Oreochromis niloticus: one gene and its partners. The protein of the gene in region 1 purifies or fractionates together with the protein of each later gene. This does not show direct contact. Links are inferred from orthologs where the notes say so. Each region holds a gene or a part of one and is shown on either strand. Other genes may lie near its edges.

Region 1 (3,752 bases):
TCATACAAGCCAAATTAAAAAAATAATAATAATTGAACATTATTTTTATTATAGTTTTTTCTTCTTCATTATTTTATTGTTATTTTATTATAGTTGTTGTTTTTTTATATATCAAAATGAAATATACAAAAATGGTCTTATCAACTTTCAAATACTAAACATGTTTTTTTAAATGACTGTTTTAATAAAGTTGTTTTGCACCCAGTGGAGGAGAGCTGTAGGATGCACTTCACCTCATGCTGGGATAAACTCCATGGAACGATGTTCTGCAAAACTAGACTGTACTCAGGAATTTGCATTTACTGAATCACTATGAGACAACATATAACACATTCACCACAATACAATCCCCTCTTATTTTTAAAGCTGTGTTACTGGTGACAAGCGAGCTGTGGACCTTCCTGTGTTTCCCCTACAGGTGTGGTAAAGACCACCAGCTGCAGTCTAGAAGAGTGCAGTTGATCTGCTCAATGAGGAACTAACTGATGACACCACTGAGTTTCCCACAGTATTATTTGGGAAACATGGATCATCTCACTTGTTAATTTGATTTAAAAGTCAACATTTAAATATATCATGTTTCAACAATTAGCCTAGAAACACACAGATAAGATTTTAAGTCAATGTCACCCAGACAGAAAACTGAGCATTTAGAGAAGTCTGAAGTCCGATACACATGAAATACTTCTGCATAAATGTCATTATTTTAAGTTCTGGTCATGTTTAACATGAACTTTGGAACATCATATAAACTCACCTCAGTGAACAACTTCTGATTCTCTGCCTGCAGACACTGCGTGGTCTTCTTCGCTGTAGCGAAGGGTGACTGGGTAATGTGTGTGGGCACTGGCTGCTGAGCTTTGAGCGGCGAGACATTTTTGGCTTGAAGGTCAGGGCTTGATTTGGAGGCAGAGGAGGAGGGCTGAGGACTCTCTTCTTCTTTGTCTTCCTCATCAAGCACAATGATTTTGTCTGCCATCCAGGCAGGAGCCACCGCCATCCAAAACGCCGGCTTTCTAAAATACAAACAGGCAGAATGAGACCAGAACAGAATGACACACAAGCATCAGAACTTCAGTGTTTTCAAGATCTGTACGATATTTACATTGGCACAAAGAAAAAAGTGACAGATTCTGGCCATGTGGGCACTTCTGATCATTTAAATACCAAAGCAGGGACCTGCACTGTGAACCGGGTTCAACAAACCCAGGATATTTTTATCTGGTTTCAAAGAGAACCAGTTTCAGGTCATATTCACATGAAAGATCTGAAACAAAGACAAGTCTAATGACTGCAGAGTGACTCCCTTTACAAATTATGATGTCAGAACACAAAATGAAGAGTAACACACAGTAAGGCTGAACGCACCACAGCTGCCACAGATAGAATTACTGTGTTTCTGTACGAGGAAATGTTTCAAAAGTGCTACATTAATGTGTGGAAAAGTCCAATATCAAAAAAGTCAATTTAAAGTCAGGAACGAAAGCTGAACACATGCATTTGTGCGCATTAACAAAGTTGTCACTTTCACAGCTCCACCATAAAGACACGGGAGGATCTGAAGTATAATTACAATTTTTTAGTTTGTAAAATCAACACTATAGTGTGCAGATGTGTGTGAGACAGTTTCAGCTGCACCCACGTATAAAGGAATGAAATAATTTAAACATTGCTTGCAGTGAAAAGGGAAAAAGCAGGAATAAAGCTGCGTATAAAAATCCATATTTTTTACTGATGCTCACCAGAACATCAGAATGATGGTCAGTAGGTACTGGTTTTCTATATGTATGCTACTCTTCTTTAACAAAACCTACTGTGGATCAGCATAGTTACCTGATAATAGATGAAGCACCTTTGAAAGGTTTAAAAACTGGGGTTAACCTGAAGTCCCCTCACTATGCCCCAAATCCTGCTTCATAGAAGAGGCCCCTGGTTAGGTTCATGGCATGTTATCAAAGTCTTACGTTGTTTAAATCAGCTCTGACTGAGGATCCCTCATATTGGGATTTTTTTTTTAAAAACAGTTTAATCTGAGCAAATAGCTTCCTGAAACAGGGGCATGATCACTCAAATTCCCAAGCTGGGTAATGGATTTCTGGAATGACTGCCAAAATACCTTTGTGGCCCTCAGAAGTCTCCAAAGTCATGTCAGTTGACTGCTTTCAACAATGTCCCGTTGCCTAGACAATTCATCTGAGGATGTGTGAACCTGTGATTTACATGCCACCATTTTCTATCACCAGTTAAACTTCAATAACTGGAAGGCAGACTCCTGCGTCCATATTAGAGCCTTAACACAGAAGCATCGAGCTTGTGAATTTGATGCTTCATTTAGGGCTACAGAAGCCGGCTGATCAGCGTTATCGTTTCGCTGTGTTTACTCGGAAAATAGGAAAACAAACAGGGGATAGCAGTTTCCAAACACATGAAAGTGAAACTAATCACGATGACACAGACAGCACATTACAGGTGGAAAACTTAAGACAGAAGGTTAAATAAAGCACGCCCACGCACACCGTAATAATGAGACAGTAGGATACACACCGACCTGTTCTCTACGAGCTGCTGGAGTTAACAACGAAACTAGAAAACGTTGCACCGCCGCAGGACATCACAACACTCCAGTTAGTTAGCTGACGTTAGCTCTGGAGGCTAGTTAGCATTCGGACTTTTCTAAGTAAAAAAATAACCTGCCAGAAAAAAAGTCGAGTTACGCTCTCATCGCCTCGCGAACCGGGTAAACAAACCCGAGATAACCTCTAATCTCGTTCGTTTTTATCAGACTGGATCTTCTTCATCAAAACAATGCCCCTTCACTTAGCTGTGCTATCGAATCGAGATCGAAAATGTACCCGCTAAACTCCGCTCAACATCAACGCCTCTGATTGGACGACAGATTCGTGACGATGAGTAATGCCATTTCCCATTGGACAGCTGCTGACATGTACCGTTCTACTATTATTTTTATTATTTCTTTGAATGTACTTAATTGACTTTATAAAGCTTCTTTGTTTTACATTTAGTACTTTTATATTTTGAACTTTTATCAGATTTACTGTTATTTTGTGTTTAAGTTCAATGTGAGATTCAGAATGGGGAAGAAAGATGGTTTAAGCTACTTTCAACGTGGTAGGGGGTAGACTGGTAGGGGGCCAGTCTGACTCTGAATATTTTAGAAAATGCTGATCTGCTTGGATTTTACCACACTACTTTACCAAACTACACAGCAGAATATTGGAAAAACGTTTTCTGCTCTGACAAGTCATGATTTGTGCTGTAACATTCAGATGGGAGGATCAGAATTTAGGGTCAACAGCATCAAAGTATGGATCATCCTGTCTGTCTACAGTTCGGGCTGGTGATGGGGTATAATTTTCCTGATGAACCTCGGGCCCCTTGTTACAAAGTATTGTTTAGACACCATCGGCTCCCTGAGTATTGTTGCTAACCATTTCCATCCCTTTGTTACCAGTGTAGCCATTTTTAAATGGCTGGTTCCAGCAGACTTATGCACTATGTCATAAAGCTCAAAACATTGCAAACTGGTTTCTTGTACATGAGGATAAGTTCACTGTACACGAATGGCCTCCACAGTCACCAAGTTACAATCAAATAGAGCAATTCTGGGATGTAGCAGAACGACAGAAACATGCCATGGACACTGTGTGATGCTAACATGTAAATATGGACCAGAATCTCAAAAGAATATTTGCAGCACCTTATTGAATCTATTCCATGTAGAATTAAAGCAG
Region 2 (3,752 bases), on another chromosome or scaffold:
CCTCTTGCCAGTCACAGGTCTTTCTCTCCTTGCAGTTTTATTTTGTTCCTCTAACCTAACAAGCTGTGTATGTTACCTCACAGGAACAAAACCTTTATAAAGATGGAGAATCACTCACCTGAAGTTTGTGATCTTGTGCTGTGGCAGATCCTCATAGCTCTCAAATCCATCCTCATTGGAGTCAAACAGTGAGAGGCGCTCATCTGTTAACATTTCAGGCTCATCCAGCTGAAACACAGAAATTATGGGTTTGGTTTTTTTTTTTTTATAATTTAAAACAAACAAAACTACAGTTTATGTGTGGCAAGTTTTCTCACCGCATTATCAGGATCCCCTTGAAAAAACTTCAGGTCAGAATCATCTAGGTATTGTCTACAGTCTTGACATTTGGGTGGTGGCGTCTGAACAGTAACAAAAACACAATCCAGTCAGCACGAAGCAGTAATGCCTCCAAAAATGTTTACAGTTCACCAATCCAAATCACTACCTTTACAGCAGAAACCGGCTTTGCAATGTCACTCTTGGATTCTTCTGGAGCAGCACTGCATAAAGAAAAGTGTCAGCCCATTTGCTTTTATAAGCTATATCACAATTGGTGCTCTGAAGACAAAGATACTTACTTTTCATCCGACTCCACTTTGAGACGCTTCTCCTCCCGAGACTACAAAAAACAAATTTGAAATTATGTGGAGAGTTATTTATCAGACACTGAGAAACTGCAGCTTCTATTTATGTTTTTTACATTACTTGTACATAAAATTACGATACCTCCTCAACGTCATCATCTTTCTTCGGTTCATTCTGTCCGTTGACAGCTTCTCCATTCAAGTCCTCTGACTTGCGCTTCTGACTGAAAGACATTTATTTCAAGCAGGTTAAAGTGATGGAAGAGTTTTGTTTTAGGCCCAAATACATAAATGAATTAAGTATATATTATTATACGCACACTTTAGTGAACATTGACAAGATGGTTGGCTGTTTCCCACTGTTTCTGGTAACCCTGGTACTTGCTGGAGACTCTACAAAAGGAAAAAAAAATTCTTTTAAAAATTACCTTTGCTTAAATAACTGGAGAAAGACACTGAATGTGCAGGTGATCTCCATCTTAAGAGATTTTAAACATACTTTTTGTGTCAGAATTTGCCTTGCTCCTCCGTCCACCCTTCCCCTTCGAAGCAGTTGGTGACTTGAAAGATTCCTCCTCCTCCTCCTGTACGCTCATGGTTACATCTTCATCATGCTCGTCTTTGTGCGAACCATTTGAAAAGCCATTCGTCTTTCCATTCTTCTCTGCGTCATCAACGTGGGAGCCATTTTCAAGATGAAGTTCTTTTCCAAGTAGGGCCTTCACTTTAGAGATATAGACCTCCTTTAAAAAAAAGGCACATGACATATGTCACAAGTTAGATGACAGAAAGTGAAGTACGGTTTTAGGATTAATATCAATTTGGACAACTTACAACTGACTGACCTTTGAGATCTCTGAACTTTTCATTTTTTCCTCCAGACTGGTCAGCTGATCCTGAGCATCAGCATGCAGAAAGTCCTGCACCAACTTGAGCTTCTCTTTCACATGTTCCTGGAGTGACATTTTAAAAGAGAATAAGAGTTAATGAATAATGTCAAAAGAAAAAAAAAAAATAAGGCACAACTTATGCACTCACACGCACAAGGATAAATACACAAAACTAAAAGAACACAACTGTCTTAAACTGGATTCCATTACTTAATGACACAATATGCAACCTGGAAACTATTACATATTTAACTTTGATTCCTGTTGACTTCGCACCACTGGTGTCAGTTTCCTTATGCTGTCCACCAGAAACTGCTCAAATAGAAAATGGCACAAAAAAGAAGACTAAAGCTGATCCTCGTTCATTTTATTCATAATTATTTATGATATAAGGGGAGTGCAATGTGGATTGAGCAAGGAACTTCCCTTTGAGGTGACAGTATAGAAACCAACTAAAATACTAAACAGTTAGTTCTTCCACACTAAACTTCCGTTTCAGAACTACTAGATAAGCATGTTTTGAGTCCACAACTCACCTCTTCTGCAGATCCTTCCTCATCCAACCTCTGCAAGCTGTAAACAAAGAAGAATCAAAACAGTGCTGGGGTAAGTCAGAGCGAATCGTGTGGGAGCGCTTCCTTTACTATACTGCAGCAATAAAACACTGACAGCGGGAAAGCAGAAACACAGATAACAAAACTTCCTGAGTGGCGCCAAATCTCACACGCTGTCCCATCCATTGGCAGGCTAATGATGCTAACTGGCTAATAGTGCATACCGCATCAGCCCTGTCAATGGCAAAAAGCTAATGTTAGCAACATCTGTTTGCACAGGTAAAAGGGAAACCGCCAGTAACGCTCAGGACAACCAGAGAAAGTCTAACCCACCAGGACTGCCATTTCAGCTTTAACCGCCACTGTTATGGCTTTTGAAATAAAAGCTGCAAGCTAGCTACATCAGTAGAACACTATTAGCATTCATTACAGTACCTTTTCCTGACATCGTCCGGGAGAGGCAGGGACGTCCTGGTTGGCATCGTAAACGAGCGTAAGACACGAGCGACTAAAAATGTTTTAAAACCGTTAAAACACCGTTTAAAACTCCACTATCATTAACCACCGCGCGGCTCCACGGTGACAGTCTGTCGTGTGCAGATGGATGCTATAAGCAATTCGGGCGCGCGGGCCGTCTTTTCGCGCGGAAACCCGGGTGTTGTGGACTGTACCACTCTAGCTATGTACAGGTAAAACAGTTTCGATGATGGACTTAATACATCCTTGATGTACGTATCGTTTGTGACCGGAATTACACGTTTATCTCATAAATATTATTAGTAAAAGAAAAACGGAATTTTTAGTCTATTTTATAAAGAAATACTTTATCTAGAAATGCACAATTAACTCGATCCACCCTTACTGTTTGATAGATGTCGAAGTGGACTGACCAGGCGGAAGTTGTTGTTTACTAATGAGCTATCGTAGCAAGACATCTGCATCTGATGTATTACTACTTTTTGGTAAAACAAAAACAAACAAACAATACAATTGAAAAAACATTGACTGAATGGCGTTGTAAATGTGAAGCACAATGTAGCTGTTGTATTATTGTAGGATAACAGTTGTTGATAATCCACTGTGGATCGCTTCCAGTGTGACTGTACTATCTATGCCTGAGGTCATGATTGCCTTAAGATGTTTGTCCTTTATGTAGCTATTTTGATTTGGGCGACTGCAATGTCATTATGAGCAAATAAATAAGGAGACAAGGTCCTTCAACTGTAACCAGCTACGCGCCTATTCCACCACAAGGTGGCACTGTGTCATTGGCAGAAGATTAATCTCAGGCGGTCAGTTTGTTCTTGTACGGTTACACATGGAAACCCACCCTGCTCGCTTTTACCACTAGTTTTTATTGACACGTGTTTATTCTGTTATTATATTAATTGGTCAGTGTTTAGCTGTGTGTACAATCACTGCACAGTTGAATAATGTTTAGAAATAGGCAGGGTTTTTGTTCACTTTTCCTTTAGTCGAAATTGTGAAGTACTTCAAACTTCGTGCTGTTCTACAGCAATGAGCTTACATGGGCTGTGCTTTATGTGTACACAACTTCACATACAGGTTTCTGAATCTGATGTAATATCCTGCAGTGCTCTGGAAAGACTTGGCAGACATCCCAGCAGCACAGCCTCCTGGGGCTGATTCAGCCAGCGTTCCCACCCAGGAATCCTGGATGT
Region 3 (3,752 bases), on another chromosome or scaffold:
CATTGTGACCTTAGAATTCATGCTTTTGTTTTAAAAAATATATTTTTTCCCCCTATTGACTTAATCTTAGTTTTGTTACTGTTAACACTGATACATTTACCATTAATAAAACAGATTTTTTTTAAAGGAATTTTCTAGGTCTTTTATAATAAGGAAAAAAAATGCATCCTGCATATTGACTTTTATACATGTTGATTCTTTTATAGCTCCTGTCAGGTAAACTCTTTTTACAATATTAATAATGAGGGAAGCAATGATTGTGTCTTTAGGCTACCAGAGTTTGCAAGTAACCCCCCTCAAAAACAAACAAAAAACCCCCAAAATAAAGTTAGCATCATTTGCAGAGACGCCACTCTTTGAAAGGCTTTGACGTGTCACACTGTTTTATATTTACAATATCTGCTGAACACGTACTGATACAATCTTAATGAAATGCAAACACTGGCTGCTGTTTCTGGCTCTCAAACACTCTGACCAGTCATGTGCATTATAGTTGAAGAGTTTTTCATGGCTTAACCAAACCTTTCCAGTAGTATTTGGAGCCAACTGCTACATATACAACATGAATTAGAGGTGGAAAGTGCTTTCAATCAAGGGATTCAAGTTTGCTTCTCTGTTAGCAGATTCCAGTGGAAAGACCAGGCTCATGGCTCAAACCGTGACACTGAAGCACAATGCCGAACCCCACAATGGAAGAGGGGAAACTAGCCATAGGAGGGGGAACTCTAGCAATAATCCCCACATTAGTGGAGCAAATGATACAACTTCTCAGCAACTGTTGTTCAATGAGTTCCAGCTTTGTTCAGTGAAGTGTACATACCACTGTGATCTAAAGGAAGCAACATCAAGCCATGACATGCAGAGCAGTGAGATGTATTTAGGGAGCCCAGAGCAACCTGTCCTGCAGGCATAGTTTCCAACAACAGTGGTGATGCAGTAAACGCTACTTTCGAGCCCCTGAAAATAATTTAGGGGAGAGGTTCTTGTGCTACTCTTTCATGAAGTAAATGGCATTCATGGGTCACTGACCTTTAGTGAGGTCCACTGCGGCTTAATCATTATAATGGAGAGCAAAGATTAAGCCTAAAAATCAATTTAGAGGATTGATCTAAAATCCCAACAGGCTGCCGTTAAGGCTAAAAATGACCTCATCTAGGAGGTCATAATCGTAGTAATCACTTTTATAAATGTTTGTCTTCTCACTTGCTGAGGGCGGTTTGGGAAGCTTGTTGTGGGTGGATGTGGGATTTATAAGCCTTTCTTCACTTGACTCACCTGCGTTGTAGAACCTGTCCAGCACGGCGGTCTCCCCGAAATCCAGTTTACCAAAGTTCACTGTCTCTAGCTTGCTGCCCACAGAATCGCAAGCGTCCTTCAGACACTGCAGGGCCATGCTCTCATGATTATTCTGTTGGCTGGCCTCTCCGTTCACCACATAGGCCACTGTTACCGGCCTGCTTTTGCAAGACTTTCCGGTGGACAGCAACCCTCCGGTGTCCAAGGGGCAGCTCCCGGAGATCGGGCTAAGTCCCCCACCTCCAGTCCCCGAATCATGCCAAAAAGTCCCAGCTGCGGGGATTCCACAGGCACCACCAACACCACCACCACCACTGCTGTTGACGCTTGTATTTTCCCCGCTGAGGTTCTCTCTGCCGGGGCAAGCACCAAAGGAAGGTACCGCTAAAGAGATCCCGTCCTGGTCTTGATTCATCTTTCTTCAAGTGTCTTTTTAAAGTGGGGATTTCGATGAGTGGCTTCTCCACCAGTCCTCCATGGAGAGCCAGCGTTACGCACGGCGGTTACCCATGGAGCCTCTGCAAAGGCACGACGTGCAACTCTGCTCCTTCCACACAGGTAAACAGTCTGTTAGGAGCAGAGGTGCAGCTCCACATCATGCTGCATGACTGCCGTTGATTGCACGCTTACAAAACACGCGAATGGGGGCTGCAGGCGGACCGAAGTCACGACGATATCCGAAGAGAAAACACAGGAGGAAAAGCCACCAAATCCGCGCATTCCGTCTCAGCCGTCGCAAGAAATTCACATACTTCTCAAAGTTGAGCAACACAGCCACTGTTAGTGCAGCAACGCCCACGAGATCCACAAATGTCACACCGAGTCCAACTTAAGCTCACTTTAAATCCTCCGATCAGCACAACGGCTTCTCAGCGCTGAAAAGAGAAAGCACACCACGCACGCAGTCAGGGTGCCTTCATGTGTAGACAAACCCTGCCCAGTTTCCACTGTTATCTTCCAGGCCAGACTCACGCACTGGGCGGAGAGACGATACTCGGAGCCTGGGGTAGTGGGGCGGGGACACGATGACCATATGTGGAGTTGTGTACTTCAGAAAGGGAGGAGTCCCTTTGAAAACAACCCCCAAACAAAACCGCCCAAACGTCTCTGTGAGTCAATAACCTGTCATCTGGAGCGAAGGTAAAAATGAATAGGTGATTTATTTATCAGCTTTTTCCCGAAAATGATGAAAATGCGGGAAATTAGAGATCGCAATCCAGAACAAAAACACCCCTTTAGGACATCAATCTCCATAATGACTACATTGTTTTGTCGGAGCTGTGAGTTGGAAGTATTTCATAATCCTGCAAACTAATTGCATCGGTTTTGCCCATTAATCTTCTGACCCGCATGGATTAGGCCCCACGGTGACAAAGTGGTTGTGAAACAGGTAAAAGTCTGAGCACATGACCATGTGACTTTGTAAATCCTCTGGACAAACGCTAGAAGTGACTATTATTAGTAGTGATTGAATTAGTTTACAATAAAGCTATCCGGGTAGGTGGTCTGCTGTTCAGACGTGGAAGTGTCATCCATTTATGTTTCAAGGAGGCCCTCTTGTGGTAGGCACTTGATATTACAGTACATGCGGGTAAAGTATGAATAGCCTGCATTTTATACTTGTGCCATAAAATACTTTTGTCCTTTATTAACAAATACATAGCAGATATTTATGACCTCTAGAAAGAGAAAGTGCTTTATTTTCTCTGTAGTAAATTAGTCAACAAAGACTTATGTTATATTGACAGATGAAGTCAGCAGGAGTCTCTGTGGACTATGATGTCTGCAGAGAACATAACAACCTGTAGTGAGAGTAAGGAGTAGGTGGAAGAGAGCCTAGAGAGTTGGAGGTATGTTTTGAGGAGAAGAGGAATGAAAATCAGGAGAAGCAAGACAGATTACATGTGTGTGAATGAGAGGGAGACGTGTAGCAGTCAAGATGTGAGGTAAGGTGAAGGAGGATGATTTTGAATACCTGGGACAGGGTTGGTGTGACAAAATAGGGTGAAATGGAGGGAGATGATAACTGTGGTAACTCCAGAATGAAGTAGCTGAAAGAAGTTGAATAAGATGCTGAAATCAACGATGACCCCAAACAAAACTTGTTTGTCAGAACATGAGGTACAAATATGAACATACAGTATTTATATGTATGTGACAAAGGGTTAACAAATACACAAAACATAGCCATTGCTTTTAAATAAGGAAAGAGCATTCTTATCTCGGGGGAAATTCGTCTACACTTTATTTGAAGACATGAATTTCCTGCAGGGCTATTTCAAGGTGAGACGAGTCTTAAATCACTGAGCTTTAATGATTTTAACATTTTATCACTGGAGAAGGGGCTAATGTAGCACAATGACAATGATGTTATTAGAGGAGTGAAGGCAGACATGAAAAAGGCTCCCATTGGAAATATTCAGTGCTGTTACGAAAAGTAAAAGAAGATAAGGGGA

What was found.
Region 2: the proteins of daxx (region 1) and DNA (cytosine-5)-methyltransferase 1 purify together in Homo sapiens (affinity purification with western blotting; 4 studies listed by BioGRID, with this or other methods). This does not show direct contact. The link is inferred for Oreochromis niloticus from reciprocal best matches to the Homo sapiens genes DAXX and DNMT1.
Region 3: the proteins of daxx (region 1) and map3k5 purify together in Homo sapiens (affinity purification with western blotting; 7 studies listed by BioGRID and IntAct, with this or other methods). This does not show direct contact. The link is inferred for Oreochromis niloticus from reciprocal best matches to the Homo sapiens genes DAXX and MAP3K5.

What each region holds. Positions count from the first base shown.
Region 1 is NC_031985.2:8,772,927-8,776,678, reverse strand, and holds the start of daxx (death domain-associated protein 6), read right to left. Parts: upstream 2,882-3,752; 5' UTR 2,545-2,881; intron 2,139-2,544; exon of another isoform or gene 2,117-2,138; intron 1,017-2,116; 5' UTR 1,001-1,016; coding exon 758-1,000; intron 1-757. UniProt on the Homo sapiens protein: Transcription corepressor known to repress transcriptional potential of several sumoylated transcription factors. Down-regulates basal and activated transcription.
Region 2 is NC_031969.2:24,060,041-24,063,792, forward strand, and holds the start of DNA (cytosine-5)-methyltransferase 1, read right to left. Parts: upstream 2,691-3,752; 5' UTR 2,553-2,690; coding exon 2,506-2,552; intron 2,090-2,505; coding exon 2,053-2,089; intron 1,580-2,052; coding exon 1,472-1,579; intron 1,370-1,471; coding exon 1,126-1,369; intron 1,020-1,125; coding exon 947-1,019; intron 851-946; coding exon 769-850; intron 662-768; coding exon 621-661; intron 543-620; coding exon 488-542; intron 402-487; coding exon 318-401; intron 229-317; coding exon 119-228; intron 1-118. UniProt on the Homo sapiens protein: Methylates CpG residues. Preferentially methylates hemimethylated DNA. Associates with DNA replication sites in S phase maintaining the methylation pattern in the newly synthesized strand, that is essential for epigenetic inheritance.
Region 3 is NC_031980.2:17,209,677-17,213,428, reverse strand, and holds the start of map3k5 (mitogen-activated protein kinase kinase kinase 5), read right to left. Parts: upstream 2,275-3,752; 5' UTR 1,712-2,274; coding exon 1,276-1,711; intron 1-1,275. UniProt on the Homo sapiens protein: Serine/threonine kinase which acts as an essential component of the MAP kinase signal transduction pathway. Plays an important role in the cascades of cellular responses evoked by changes in the environment.